Lonchura striata: one gene and its partner. The protein of the gene in region 1 purifies or fractionates together with the protein of each later gene. This does not show direct contact. Links are inferred from orthologs where the notes say so. Each region holds a gene or a part of one and is shown on either strand. Other genes may lie near its edges.

Evidence for each region.
Region 2: the proteins of CTTN (region 1) and ASAP1 purify together in Homo sapiens (affinity purification with western blotting; 6 studies listed by BioGRID and IntAct, with this or other methods). This does not show direct contact. The link is inferred for Lonchura striata from reciprocal best matches to the Homo sapiens genes CTTN and ASAP1.

What each region holds. Positions count from the first base shown.
Region 1 is NC_134608.1:54,885,630-54,893,315, reverse strand, and holds the start of CTTN (src substrate cortactin), read left to right. Parts: upstream 1-4,679; 5' UTR 4,680-4,805; intron 4,806-7,441; coding exon 7,442-7,525; intron 7,526-7,686.
Region 2 is NC_134603.1:9,923,561-9,931,508, forward strand, and holds the start of ASAP1 (arf-GAP with SH3 domain, ANK repeat and PH domain-containing protein 1), read left to right. Parts: upstream 1-4,902; 5' UTR 4,903-4,917; coding exon 4,918-5,030; intron 5,031-5,384; exon of another isoform or gene 5,385-5,452; intron 5,453-5,921; coding exon 5,922-6,051; intron 6,052-6,148; exon of another isoform or gene 6,149-6,172; coding exon of another isoform or gene 6,173-6,241; intron 6,242-6,547; exon of another isoform or gene 6,548-6,567; intron 6,568-7,948. UniProt on the Homo sapiens protein: Possesses phosphatidylinositol 4,5-bisphosphate-dependent GTPase-activating protein activity for ARF1 (ADP ribosylation factor 1) and ARF5 and a lesser activity towards ARF6.

The DNA of each region.
Region 1 (7,686 bases):
TAGCTACCTGCAGCCTCAATTTGGGGAGCAGTGCTGCTGATAAAAAGCAGCTTGATGTGTTGTAACACAAAATCCATGTATTCTGGCTTGTGAAAGAGCTGTAGTCCTGTGTTTCTCCAGGATCTGGAATGTTTCTGCAGCAGCCTCTGCTGTATTTTCTCATGATTTTAAAAAATCAACTCAGTGGATCTTTCCCCCTCACTGATATCTTTGATGGACTGTAAATTGCCTGTCTTCTCTGCTTGCAGCTTCTTTCTTCTTACTGGTAGCATCCCTTCCAACTCATATATTTGCTTCCTCAAATTCAGAACCTTTTTGCATGTATGAGTTGAGTTCTTATCTGTGGAATGCTGAGAGAGGAAACTCCTGCACGTAGCAGCTCAGACCACATGAGCTCATGTCAGTTCACAATCTCAGGGGCTCTCTTTAAAGTATTTTTAGTTGCAAGAAACTTAAGTTTTAAGTCTCTCCCCCAGATTCTCCCTAGATCAGGATTTTCTGTAGTCAGATGACATGGGATGGAAATCCTCTAGGCAGAAACATTTGTCCTCATTGCTTTATTTGCATTGCAGCTGGAGATTGCAGGAGGCTATAAAATTATATCCAACATGGCATGGCAGTTATTCAGTGCATCACTGCTGCACTGCTGAGCTGTTTGTGACAATCTTGGAATGCAATGGTGGTTAAAACATGCTAATTGAATCTTCTGTGTTTTTTTCTTTTTGTGTGTTGTTTTTGTTTGTTGTTTTTACAGTTTACCCACACTATTTCTACCGGTGATATGCAGCATTTTGAACATTTGGAACCCTTAACCTGTTAATAAATACTTGTTAAATGGACACTTTGAGATATTTTATTACAGAGTTTTTAATTAGCAAATGAATTCATGAGTACTATAGAGAAAATATTTTAGAATCTAAATGTTTCTTATATTTATGTGACTTGTCATTTATATAGTTACTTACTTTTTCTGTTTCTATTCGGTCTACAAATCAAATCATTGCTGATTTATTTAATTCTAATTTTAGTCTTTCCAACTGAATGTACTGTAATGCTTGTATGTATATGTCCCTATGAGCAATATAGGGTTTTTGTAAATTATGCAGTAACTGTAATTATCATTGTTTTTTAATAATGAAACTGAAGGTGAAAAGGATTTTAATACATTTGTAAAAGTACCATGACACCAAGCAGTATATATTTTGTCTTTTGGAGCTCTTAGCTTAGATCTGAAAACAAGTCCAGCTTTTTTTCAGGTGAGCCTTTGTTGACGTAGGACGAACGGTACACGAGTGTTGTTCTTCTCAGAGCTGTACCTTTCCACACAGAGGATGTGTCAAGTAGTGGCAATTTGTCTTTAAATAAAGTAGAACTGGTTTGAAAAGCTGGGAGGAACTCCTAACCCTGCAGGACGTGTTGTAGGAGTGATTGCCTCAGTCCTAATACCCTTCTGCTGTGTTTGTGTAGCGACTCTTCGCAGTGACTGAAAACAAGCCATAAACCGAGGACTGGTTTTACTTTTGCTTTTCCTTCCCTGAGGAGGATTGACTTCATAATGATTCCTGGTCGTGAGCCACAGGCCACAGAGAGGTTTTTTTTTTTGTCCTAGACCTTTTTGCTTGAAAACACTTGGTGGAAAGATGCTGGTAGAACCAGTTTTAATGGACCAATCCTAAAGCACTGCAGCCTCCTGTCAAATGAGTACTGCAAGATGAAGGTACAATGGGCTGAAAACTAAAGCAGTGCATCTTCTAATAAAGGCCTTACTTTTCTTATGTAAGTCACCCTATGTGTTTTGTAAACTTGTTCTAAAGACTTGTCTGGACTTTAATTTGGATGGTTGTAGGCATTTTGGATTGTATGAGTAGAAAATGTATCTGACACTTGTAAATGGCATATTAAAAAGCCAGCAAGAATCTCTTCAGATGGTGCATTATTTATTATGCAACAATATATATAGCATGTCTTTTTTCTTTTGTTTTCCACATTTAATTTGCTTGTAAAACTGAAATTCATTGTTACTGTTCTGTTTTTCTATTAATCTTTTGTGTATTTTCAGATTATGTAACAATATGTACAGTCTACTTTTGAACTATTTTTATCACAGTATTATTTATTGCTTTCAATAAAGTACTGATGCATTTTCCACTGCCAATAAAACACTATGGAAAAGCTAAGATCTAATTGTATGCAGGCAGACACTTTTGCAGTGTGTGGATATTGTCAATAAAGCATCTTAATGACTGTTTGCTGCCCTGTAGATCTGGTTTCAAATGATGACCTTTCTCCAGTAGCAAAAATATTCTGTTAGATGTGACATTTTCTTTGGAATTGTTCAAGTTCACATGCATTAATATCAGTTTTCTGGAAAAAAAAATGCTTTATTGCCTACTTCTGCTCATCATTAGAGCTATGATTTGCTTTTTAAAATAATAAACCAGACCTGACACACAACTTCAGTGTATTCTGGTCCACATGGTGAAGATGGAAATGCTGTCCTAGACAGCAGCAACACTTGCTTTGGTAATAAAATGAAATCATGGCCATAGTGATATGTGGGGAGAAACATAGGAGTTGAGGGAACCAGTACAAAATAGGGTCACATAGGGCTGTTCATGTCAATTCTGATGTATTTGTAAACCATTTCATTGAGTTGCAGATTAATGAAAGGAGTAGTGAAGCCTATTTCATCATGTCCTCCAAATCAACAGCAGGATGTGAAATGCCTGGAGAAACACTGCCATGGAGGCTCTAAACTTTGTTCAGTGATGCATCTCTGTTTGTCTGGCTTGTCTGTACGAGTTGCTGTCTGTTCATTTGCAGTCTCTTTTATATTCTTAGAGAATCTATCTTTCTAGAAAAAAAACCTAAAATGGAACTGCAGAAGGAAATCCTAGCTCACTGCTCAGCTAAACTTTTCTGTTTAGAGAAATCTTGCCTAGGCGTTGCTGGTCACTGATGTGAGTGATAGTAGGTGTTCAAAGTCATGTATTGTTGCTTCTCAAAAGTGAAACCAATGCGGGATAGACTTGTAAAATGTGAACAGAAAATGCATTTATTATTTCAAGGCTGTAAAACCTTAACTGTTATGAAACAATGGAACTGATGTGAGAGGTAGAATAAATGAGTGAAATGGTGAAAGCTTTCACAAACTGGCAAAACTGTGTGTGCTGACTTCCTTCTGAGTTACACAGCAGAACTGTGCTGGAGAGATCCAGAAAAACGTGTCTTGCTCAATTTTACAAACTCCCACACACCCTGTTGAAAGAAAACTGTGCACGTGGAAAAGGCACCTGGGTCTGTTACAGTGATCTTTAGATAATGCTTGATTAAATACAATGTTTTGTAAATTGCCAAATGTCTTTAAAGGCTTCAGTTGGAAAGAGGGCTGTAAAAATTAAACTATGCATCCTGTCTGCATGCTTCAGAGTTATCTGAGTGAACTTTAAACTTGCAATTTTTGCATGTTTAAAGGACAGGGACTCTCAAAACAGATGTTTTAACTCTGTCTTTTAAACTGCTATAGCAGTGTCTTGTCTTGTGGACAGTAGTGATTTATTATGCAAAGATTTGAAGAACAGGTAAATTAGTTCAAAGCAGAATTTTTGGAGCTTGGTTGAGACGGAGGAGCAGCAAAATTAATTCTCAAGTAAATAACAATTGACACTATGTTTGGGAGTGGTACTTTTAAAAGAAACTAAAGAGTCACTTTGCCTTTGAAAGGAAATTTTTTCACTTCCCACTATCAGGGTTGCAGCTTTGGTGCACAAGGTATTGTACATTTTGTTAATTTTATTGTTTGTTAATGGTAAGGCCTTGGGAGGGAAAGGGAAATTGTAGTTAACTGAGGTGTCACTACCTTTTGGTTTTGTAGATGTTGGAATAGATGGGTGAAAAGTGATAGAGAAATGTGGTTGTTGCTTCTACCTGTAGTTGAAGAGAGAGGTGAAGACTCCAAAAAGACGCAGAAGAGACAGAAGTAATGCCTAAAGGACTGAGGTTCTCTGGACGCGTGTTCTTCAGCAGACAATGTTTTTAGAATAAATTCAGTCCTTTTCAAATATGCTGTATTCATTTTACGGGGTAAATTGCACTGCATGTAATCCAGGAAGAAGTAACTGACCTATTTATGACATGAACTGGCTACATTTGGAATTACGTTGTTCTTGTGTTCACCTCGATTTTTTATCATCTTGCCCTCTATTACAGCCTGAATTTGTGTGTTTATCGGTAATTTTTTTTTTTTTTTTCACTAGAAATATCCTTACTTGGGGTCTTTCCCTCCTTTAGAAGACGCAAACAGCAAACAAACCTGTACCTCATTCCACAGTGTTTTAAACCCCCAGTTTCCATTTTGCATCCGTTTCATTTGGATCGGATCCCAGCCACGGGGGAACCATTTGCCCACCGATAAAAAGCGATGGCAACCCCTGGGGACGGAGTAGATGCGATTTCCAAAACACGACGGTGCAAAAGTGAGCATTAGAAGACGAAGACGGATGCTCACAACTGCACCAGCAACTCCCCTGTGGCCATTTTACAACTACTGAGGCTGCATTTTTTGAGCGGCTGAAAGGAGCGGGGGACGGAGCCGCTCCAGACAAAAGTATTAACGATGCTTGGAGCGGCCCGCGGGGAAGCGGCGCTCCCGCAGCCGCCGGCGCGGCCCCTCCCGGCGGGGCGGAGCCGAGCCCGTCCCGCTCCCACCTGGAGCCGGGAAGAGGAAGTGGGAGCTCGGGAGAAGCGGAAATTGCAGCAGCAGCCGCCGCCAGCCCGGGAAGCACCGGCGGGGAGGCAGCAGCACAGTAAGCGCGGCGCGGCTGAAGGGAGGCCGGGCCGGGGGCTCCGCGCAGGGCAGAGCCGGGGGGCGTCGCGGCTCCGTGTCATTCCCTTTCTTTAAAAAAAGAAAAAAAAACATTATTTCAACTGCGAAGCTGGGAACTTGAGAGGAAGCGTGTGCGGCGGGGGCTCCCCACGGCGGTGGGGCAAAGCGCCCGCCCGCGGTGCCGGGCCCGGCCCGGCCAGCCCGGAGCCGCTCCCGGCTCCCCGCGGCCCCGGCCCGGCAGCGCGCTGCTGCCGAGGCTGCCGTGCTGCGCAGGATGATGCGTGTGCTGATTAGTCACAGCAGCGCGTACACTCCAGGCATATATTTAGCCTGGGTTTGGGTTCGAACCGTAGCGTTTGCTTCTTCCTTCAGGAATCATGGCCGCGTGAGCCAGTGAGTCATTAATAGATCGTGTTTCTCCTCGTTCTGCCCTGGGATCGGTGCTGGAATAGCAGGCGGAAACCAGGCTTATTCCTGCTCGCTGGGGCTGCTCTGCTTCTTGTGGAATGCACAGAGTGCGGGGTTGAGCTGTGGGAAGATGTTGGCGTTTGTGCGCGTGGTTTGCAGAGAGTCGCGGTGGACGCTGGACTTTGCACGGGACTGCGTGTGAAATCCTTCTTCCCTGGCTATTGTTTGTGAGAGCTTGAGGAAGAAACAGCGAAACCTAAAGTATCCAGCTTTTGTTCTTGTCCAAGCACAGCTGAATGAACAAAATACATAAATCAAGTGAGCACAAGAAACAATTACTCGGGGGATAAAAAGTTGTGTTTGGCACAAAGCATATAGAAATTCACCATACAGAGCACACGTGAGTCAGCTCTCCATTCCTAAACATCTTGCACAGCGTGATGGAGCAAGTAAAGATGGATACAAAACATCCCCCTTAGGAGAAGTTAGGAAGAGCTTGGACCCATGTTGAATTTCATTATTGAGCTGGTTGGGTTCTGCTTTTGGGTTTCCGAGGCTTTTGGGGTTTTTTTGGTGAGAGATTGGATTTTAGTAGGAAAGAGTAGGACAATCCGACACAATCATGTGAGATAAGGCTTTAGACAAAGTATTTCTAGGATGATGTTAAACCACCTGTGTTCTAAAGGTTTGGGTTAAAAACTCATTGTCTCAGAAGCTTTTTGGATATGAGGTACTATTATAAACGTTAGTTCCTTAGCTGCCAGGGGAATTTGGAGATGGGAGACCTGAAATAACATGAGGGGAAATGTGCTGATACTGTTAATATGTCACCTGTTCTGCTTTTGCACTCTCCTTCCAGGCTACTCCAGCATTTGCTACCCTGGTGTTTGACTGTCAGTTTTCCAGCTATTCTCAATCATGTTACCAGCCCTGAAATTTCTGAAATGTTCCAAAAAAGTGGCTCATCAGCTCATTCTGCTAGGCTGCAAAACGAGCCTGACAGAACGAACTGTGGACTTTACCCAGGGATTATTAGCTATGCATTTAAGAGGGAGTGAGTTTTCATCCCACCCACTGAATTATGCTTGTGTGAATTAAATAGCCGATTATAATTATCTTTGTAATCTGTTCCTAATTACAAGTATAAAGGTAAGTGGACAGAATGCTGGTATTTTAAAAAACTGAACTCTAGTTGAATAGCAAAGAAAAAATGAAATCTTTTCTCTGAAGTGTATTCTGAAAAAGCTGGGAGAACAGGCAGCATGCAGTTTGAGGTTTCAGTTTTGCTTTCTAGACTGCATTTGTTTTGATTTATGTTGAATAAAGGGTGTAAAATCCAGCCACTAGCACCAGGAAGATCAGGAATTCTGCTAACTAGCTGAACTGTTAATTAAAAATATCCAACTTGATACTCTGTGGGGCATAAAGTTTCCAGAAACTGAGAGGCCCCAAATCATTAACCTCTTTAAAGTGCTGGGTGTTGTTTCTAGAAGTCATCGTTTGCTTTTTTAATGAGTCTTGCTTCCTGCAGTCACCCTCTGTTTCTCCTGAAATCCAGACAAGGTGCTGAGTTTGTGAGCACCATGTCTCACTGGGGATACCTGAGGAGCACAGACACTCCTCTGTTGTTGTTGGAGCAGTGTCTGGACTGTGTGCAAATTCTTAGAGTTGTTGGGATTTCAGTCACCGTGCTGGAACTCCATGCACGGCAGAAGAGTTTGTGCAGGTGTAATGCAGGTGAAGAACAATGTTGTGCTCACCATTTTTAGTGCCTGGGGAAAAAAAATTACCTATTCCTACACCTTAGTTGTATGCACAGGATCCAGAATTAGCAGCAGTCTTTGGAAGTGCATGTTGGCTTGGTAACCTGTGTGAACAGAAGTCTTTGAGTGCAATGACTGCACAGGAGACACACACACATTAATTTGAGCAAAGAAAGGTGACTTTGTTCTCCTGAAACAGCAATCACTCCTAATCTTTTTACAGTGCAAATGGGAGAGTTAAACAGGTTTGTAAGCCAGCTTGAGAAGACAGCCTGAGCTCCAGAGGTCAACCTGTTTTCACTGCAAGCACAGCTCTTGGTGATGTGGTTAAATAACATACTTTATTAGGGATTTTGGATTGCATCTCCTGTGTCAGCTCCTGCACGAATCAAATGAGCTGGCAGGTGAGTGGAGTGTGACCCTGCTTCTCTTGCTGGTGTTGCAGATGTGGAAGGCTACTGCAGGCCACACCGTGTCTGTCAGCCAGGATGATGGAGCTGATGACTGGGAGACAGATCCAGACTTTGTGGTATGGCTTTTGGGGTATACTGATCCACCAGGAATTTGTTCTGGGATAATTCCAGAGGAGCTCTGTGGGGTGGGGGACGTGTCTTGGCCAAATAAACTGTCAAGAGTGTGTCCCTGGAGTGGAGGGGAAGTGAAGCTGCTTTTCCAACACTTGTGGTCCCA
Region 2 (7,948 bases), on another chromosome or scaffold:
GCTATCTTATTTTAAATATGAGAGGAAGACAAATGGTGGGAGATGCCAGTATTAAAATTGAAATCAGCTGATTCTTGCATTCAACACAGTCACAGCAGCAGCACAAATTCTTGACACAGCTCATGCAGTTCATAAGTCACATTAGCAGATACTGTCCCATAAAAACCACAGAACTGCAATCAGCATGTTTGCTGGACCTGGATTTTGGTCTTCTTCATGTTCAACAATGTGACACAGGCACGAAGTATTCTTTTACTTGAAAGTTACCAGACTATTCAGTCCCGGTAACATAATTTCAAAGGTTTGTTTGCAAATGTCAAAGTCAACAGCCTTCTTTCTCAAGTAGAAATACTCTGCAGTTTACCATGCACGTTTCCTTCAAGCAAATTAGCACCAGTCACAATGTGTGATGTAGGCTTCAGTGTTTAAAATAGACTTTGCCTTTTCCTGTGAGTACACCATGCACTTGTGTGATCTTAAATGTGCAAACATGCTGCGGGTCAAAATACATAGTTGTTACATTTCATGCAAGGCTGTCAGCCGTCCGACCATCCTCTGAGAGGACACAGCTCCTGGAGGTGAAATGCCTCCTGACTAAACATTTCCTGCTGAAGTACAGAGTGATATTACTTGTCCTCACTTAAATGGGGTGGTTTTGCTTTGCAAAACAAAACTATCAGAGTTCCATTAACAAAAAAAAGTTTACTGAGTTTTAGCACGTGAGATATTCCAAAACCAAAAGCATAAATCATCCTGCTGAGATTCTTGTTGAAGTTTTTTTTATCCCCTAAGCCCAGCATCCAACTCATGTGAAAAGAGCTGATATTCAGAAATATTTGTGGATATTCTAGTATTATGGCCATAAATTTAAATAAGCCTTTCCCATTAATTTTGTTAGAAGTTATCTGAAAATAAGACTATAAAAATGTAGGAACAGCAATTTACCATATAGATGTTTTTTTTCAGGAAACCTCAAATCAGTTTTGAGGTATCAAATGCCATGGATGTCTGTTGTCAACAGATACGATGATCTCATAGAGTTAGGATCAGGAAGAGGATGGGAAGTACTCCTGACTGCTGTGTTTAGCTGAAATGGATGAATCTAACGTCAAACCACAAACATACTCAGGATAGCAGTATAGTAGAGAAACACAGCCTAAGGATATTTTCCTTATGCATTTTAGCACACTACTTCTGTTGCTATTTGCTGTTGAGCTGGTGACATTCTCCATGTTTGTGGAGATGCTAAGGAGCATAAAAACAACAACTAAGAAAAGCATGTGCATTTCAATGATTTGATGTTTTAATTAAACAGTACTGTCTGTCATACTATAAAATCAGCACTTTTATCCGCAGTAATAGCCAAGACGGAAACATTACAAGTCAAGAAATGAATGTAGTTGTAAACCAGTATTTGCAAAAAGGCATCATGTTCATACTTGAGAATCAAAACCCCTTGAATTTGACATGTGAGATCCTGCCATGACTACACCTGCACTAATCCTGTCACTGCACAGAACCGATGTGTGCAGTGATTTCCTTCTCCAGCTAAGAACTCACTTCCATGCCACACTGAGAGCTTGCAAATGGCCAGGAGGCAGCTCATCTGAGCACGCTTGACAACACACTGATGCACAGCCAGGGACTCGGGTCAAGCTTGTTTCCAAAAGCAGCAACCACACCTTGAGTTTGCATCTCTGAGTTTGCTTCCTACGCAGCAGGGAAGTGTGACCTCAGGCTGGTCCTGGGGCTGCTCTCTGCAGGCAGCATAATCACATCCCACGGGAGATTCACCACCAGCTTCAGCCTAGATGAGGTGTTGATATCCTGAAGAGCTGACTTTGCATGACTCAAGCTAGACAGCCACAAACACTGCAGGGCCACAATCTCATCTATCTGGCTCCTTATCTGTAGTGGAAAAATAATCTTGCTGTTCTCTACCACATTGCTGTATGGTTTCAATAGTTAATTGCATTGATGATGTGAAGAGCTGTGCAAGTGCCATGTAGCTTTTCACCTCTGGCACATACTGGCCATGCTGCAAAGTTCACAGTGATGACAACATCATCACCTGTTCACTCCTGCTCAGCTCCTGTAAGCGAACTGATGATTTCAATCTAAATATAAGCTGTCCAAAATACTATAAAATGAAGAATACTATCATTGCTTAACACCTGTGTTGGTAGTTCATCATTGCAATATTCCTTAGACTCTCCCTAAGCATGGCAACTATCACCAGTACTGCAGAATTTGCTGTAATTAACTCTTCTGTTTGCAATCACAATAAAAACCAGGGAATCAAGTGGATTTATAGACTGAGTCACTGGGTGGGATGGCAAGACAACACAACTTCCTTGGCTGCAGTGCATCAGCAGTAAGGAGTAAGTGATTTCCAGTGCTGCTTGCATGATCCTCACTGGCATTAGCTTGTCCAGGATGGACAAGATGTATTTCACTTCAGAATACCAAAAGGATTGAGATAAGCATAACTCATTGGCAAACCTTCCATGAGAAAAAGGCTGTGGCACAGCCTCACCCAGGATCTAGCACAGACTGACAGTGTTGTAGCAGCCACTGTGAAATATAACTTTCACACTCTGATGATTATTCTTTGACATTTGTGAAGTGAAACAGTAATTTCAGTTAGTGACAATTTAAAGAGAGGTGCATCTTACAAATTTAGAATTGAATCTCGGATACTGATTGCAATTCAAAACAGGAAACGTGGTTAAATCTGAAATTCACTGAATGCTATTTGAAATACTTACATAATTTGACTAGTTTAAATATTAGCACATTTTTACAGGCAGCTAGTATATTTTTATTAACATCACATTAATTAACTGATCTTGTTTCCAGTGAATTTAAATGAAAATAATCCAAGTCTAAAGAGGTCATACCTATAGGGCTATTTTCTTTACTAACATTTGAATAGGGGAAGGGGAAATGCTGCTTTTAAGCAGCAAAACAGAGCACTGTATCTCTCTGGCAGAGTAAACAATTTCAGAACTGTCAAAAACAGACCAAAAGGCAACTATTATCTTCCTTTTTCATTTTTAGGCCTTGTGCCATTCTCTTTATTTACCAGTATTCTTCTGTATTCATTCTTTTTCTTAAGACATTTAATATGTCTTTCCAGAAGACAATTTTTTTCCCTGATGAAGAAACACAAAAGCTCAGTTGCGCTTACTCTGCTCTGCCTTCAGTTCTGTCACTCTTCACTGCCACAGTTTCCCTGGCCTGTCTACTACCTTTCTTAGTTGAATATGCTCTTCCACTCTGTAGTATAAATTTTCACGAAATAGTATGAAAGAAATTATGTCTTTAGCAATATGTTCAGCTTCTGGGGTGATTTGTTTGGGAAAACAGATGAGGTTATTTTACAATCCAGAGATTAATGGTCAAGCTCAATAACTACAGTCTGAAGAACAACAATTCAACCCTAACAGTGAGAGTACCAAATTAATTAAACCAGTTTGTCCACCAGTGTGATAGATTTATCCTCACTTGAAATCTGCCAGCGAGGGATCAGGGATCTTCCTAATGTGAAAACTGTGGCTGACCTTCGGGCCACTAGGAACAGCTGAGTGACAGCCCATGATTGCTGTTCAGCAGGAATTACAGGGGATGACCACAGAGACCCTGCTTGGCCCTCAGGCCATATCCTTCACCCATCCAGTTTCCAAGCAGACTAGGCCAAAACAGTTCTTTTGGCTGTTACCAGCAGCTCTTCCCTGGCCCAACCCCTCAGCCAGTTCTTTACTCTCCTTTCCATACTGCTTTTGATGCCACCAGCCATTTTTATCTTCTTGGTCTCTCTTCCTTCTCCACTGCTCTTATGAACACAATCATCAACTGATTTTCTTCCTACCTCTCCGGCTGCTTCTTCAGCGCTTCATTTTTTTTTGCCGAAATCCATTTCTCACTGTAACTCCCACACAGTTCTTTTCTTGGCTTCCTCCTCCTCTTGCCTACTCTACCTTTCAGAGTCTCATGACGTTTAACAATCATCTGTACAAGCTCAGAGCCTTTGTGCCAGAAAGCTGGATCACGTGAAGCAGCAGCAGCAGCAGCAATCACATGGCCGTATGGAGGGCTTCTACTAAGGCAATGAAATCACCGAAACATGTTCAGGCAGGACCACTGCTCAGGAGTGCTGGTCATATTTTTGCTAATAGAACTGCACAGAAATAATTTTTTATGGGTATACTCAAATCAGGTATCTCCTTTTTATCCTTACTCAGGCATTGCAGTTTTTAGTTGATACTGTAAACTATTTTTGAGCTGCACAGGCATTTTATTAGAATTATATATGAAACCATGTACAAGCCTAACCACATTGTAATGTGGTAGGTGCTTATACAGTGAGCATAAAATGCTTTGAAATGGATACAGCTGTATAATAGTGCTCATTCTAAATTGTTCAGATTTGAGAATATTTACCGAATGGCCCAGTTTCTGTGTAGAGAATCCCAAATATAAGGAGGAAATCACACAGTATGGCTAAATAAATCACACTGATGCAGCAGATGACCACAATTACTTGAGCCTCCTGAGACTTAGCCTTCTTTAGTAATGAACATATGGGACCCCAAACCTAAGCTAAAAAAAAAAAAAAAAAAAAAAAAAAAAGTGTCTATCTGTCAGCTCCCTGAATTACACGATACAACAATGGCTAAAGGACATGTTAACTATTCAGAAAAGCTGGCTGTGAGCGGACACAGGGCTGTAACCCGCGGTTCAGGGCACCGCGCTGGGCTCTGCGACCCGGCCACGGCAGCACCGAGACAGCTCTGCTCCGGAAAGGCTCAGGCACAGAACTGTTTACTCAAAATCAGCAGTAGCAACTTCAAGGGCTTCTCTAAATCGTAGCAGGACGTCTTAAAAATTAACTAAGTCTAAGGAGCGTAAAAACCTATGCAGTCAAGACTGCCGACAGGGGTGGCTCCCTCAGCGGTGGCTGCAGGAATCCTCGGCTCTACATCACCGGCGGATGGGGCTCCGACCGGCTGTGAGGGACCTCGGGAAGGGTAAAAAAGAAGCAAGAGACCCCGCGACCCGCCCTGGGGGCTCCCCGGAGCGGGAGCGGACACGCAGCCTGAGGCGGGCAGGGTCTCTCCTCTCCGCGCCGCCAGAAGGCACGGGACGCTCATTCTCGCGCTTAGGGACAGCACTGCAGGCCAGCACCCGCCGACCTTGTCAGCTCCCACCAGAAAGCCTTTTTTAATGATAAGAAAACGAAAGAGCGGCAGCCTCCCCCCCTCAGCAACCGCGGGGCCGGGGGAGGGGAGCGCCGGCCGCGCCTGCGCGGAGCCGCTTCCTCGTTGTGGCGCGCAGCGGCGGCGGGCGGCGCGTGCCCGTCGGCGGTGCCCGTCAGCGCGGCCCCGCGGCCCCGCCGCGCCCGGCCCGGCCCCGCCTCCGCGCCCGGGGGGCGCAGCCCGAGCCCGCGCAAGTCAGTGCTCGGCGCGGGCGGGAGCAGCGGCCGGGCCGGGGGGCGTGGGGGGTCGGCGCGGGTGGGGAAAGGGGCTGAGCCCGGCGCGGTCGCCGCTCCCCTCCCGCCGCCCTCCCCGCAGCGCCGCGGCGGGGCCGAGCTGGGCTGCTCGGAGGCGGCCGCGGGAGCGCTCCCCACCGGCGGGGCCGAGCCAGGGGCGCCGTGCGGGGGCCTCACCCCCTTCACCTCCTGCCCGGAGGAGGAGGGGGCGGCCGGGGAGAGGCTGGATGTAGAGGGCGAAGCCTCAGCCTCCCTCTGCGTCTCCGGTGCTTTGATGCTGCGGGTCTCTGCTGGCTGTTAACATCTTCTTCCCTCTGCTTTTTTTTTTTTTTCGTTTTATTTTTTTCCCTCACCTCTCCCCTCGAAACTTGGCTTCTTCTCTCTCCGGATCTGTGTGCCCGGCTTCTCCTGGGCTTTACCGGTGGGGCAGGATCATGCCGGACCAGATCACCGTGTCGGAGTTCATCGCCGAGACCACAGAGGATTACAACTCCCCGACCACCTCCAGCTTCACCACCCGCTTGCAGAACTGCAGGAACACGGTCACGCTGCTGGAAGAGGTAAATCGTCCACACCCCACATCCTATCCCCTGTTTTTTATCGTTCCCCCCCCCCACACACACACCTTTTTTTTTTTCCTTTTTTTTTTTTCTTCTCCTTTTTATTTCTTTTTTTTTCTGTATGCCTTCGAGAGAGCATCAGGGACGGGGCAGCACCACCCGCCCAAATCCACAGGAGCCAGAGGCGTTGGTATGCATGTAATCTGGTCTTTTAATTGTGGGACTTTGCCCTTGTGTTGAGCTAGTTACAGAAAGCTTTTCTGCTCTGGCGTCTCAAAGATTAGTACGTAAAGTAGTTATCTGAACTTAAATGTTGCTGTGGTACTTCTTGGTATTTTCAGTGTTGTCAGTTGTTGCAGTAGAAGAAAATGCGTGAATGTTGGGGATTTTTAGAGGGAAGATGAAGGGTGAGTTTTGTTTGGGAGCGTTAGTAGAGGTTTTCCCCAGCTACTCGTTACATCCAGTACGCAGAACTCTGCAGAAATCTGCCAAGGAAGACTTGGTTTAAGCAATGAGGTAAGGATGAAGAGATGAATGTGGAGTGAGGGAAATAATATGAAAACAGAATTGGTGGAAGAAGAGGAGCAAAATAATGCAGCAGAAGAGATTTTATGGTCTCAGCACTTCAACCTTGAAGGCTCAGTGCTGGGTTTTTTTTTTTTCATGCTTGTTATGAGCATCATTTAAATGTTCACCCTGCTCTGCTGTCAAGAAATAGGAGCATGAAAATGGGTAAACTTCCAGAGCTGGTTTCCAAGGAATATCAGTCCACTGCTTCCTATTTGAGGTTTCAGAATGATTTCCAATGGACTAGGTTAGTGGATATGAGGAAATGTCTTCCAAATGACTTTAAAACAAGATAGTGTGCAGCTCTTCTCTTGCCCTGTGCTTGCTTGAAGGTACAAGCATAATGACGCTGAAAGAAGGGAGACTTTTGCTAATGTGGCAGGGTTGCAGTTAGTTGTTGTTTTGGATTATACACTTAGTTCATCAAGTATTTGTTGATTCTTCAGGAACTGGCACGTATCTAGGAGATGGATTTAATAGAGTTTTTTAATTCTGCTGAATGTGTTGGCATGAGCAAAACATTTGGTATGCAAGGAAAGAGTATTAATTATTTAATTATGGTATGTGCTTGATAGTCTTGGGTATGGAAATAGAACTCCACAGGAATCAGATCAGCTGAAGTTTTAATAGAAAAACTGTCTATGTTCAAAACGGTAACAGTGCAATTGTCTGTGGTAACTGACTAGAGTGATTGTAAGTTCACATTTAGAATTTTATATTTTGTTTTTATTGTGTAACCTAGATTAACATCTGTAACATTTTCATAACTGTAACTAGTTTGGGTTTTCTTTTCTCTTGTACCTAAGTCATGGCCACTGATAGATTTCTCAAAAATCAACCTGTTAGGTTAGTGTTTGACAGAATTGCTGCCCCCTGTTCTTAACTATGTGGAATAGGTGCAGCCATTGATATGCTTGTTAGTACACGTGACAGCATGCATAGAGTTAATAAAAATATGTGTTTTGTCATCACTGGTGACTTAACTTCTAGGGTAAGAATACAGTGTAATGCTTTCATGGTTTGGGAAATACATCAGTACAGGCTAAATGTGATAATGCCTGTCTGAAGAGAAACAAAATATAGAAGATAAATACACAGTGTTCTGCACTGTTTGTGTGGACTGTATTTTAGAAGTTTTAATGTCAGATTTTACAATAAATCAGGGGAATAAAGAATGGTGGGTACTTCTGTTGATTGTGTTTCTCTTTTTTGAATTTCTTTTGTTTGTGTAACTGTTTTATGTGCCCTATTTGAACTGATTGCAGTTTAAACTGGACTTGTTTTGCTTTTTTTTTTTTATTATCTGTAAATATAAAAAAGCTTTATTTGG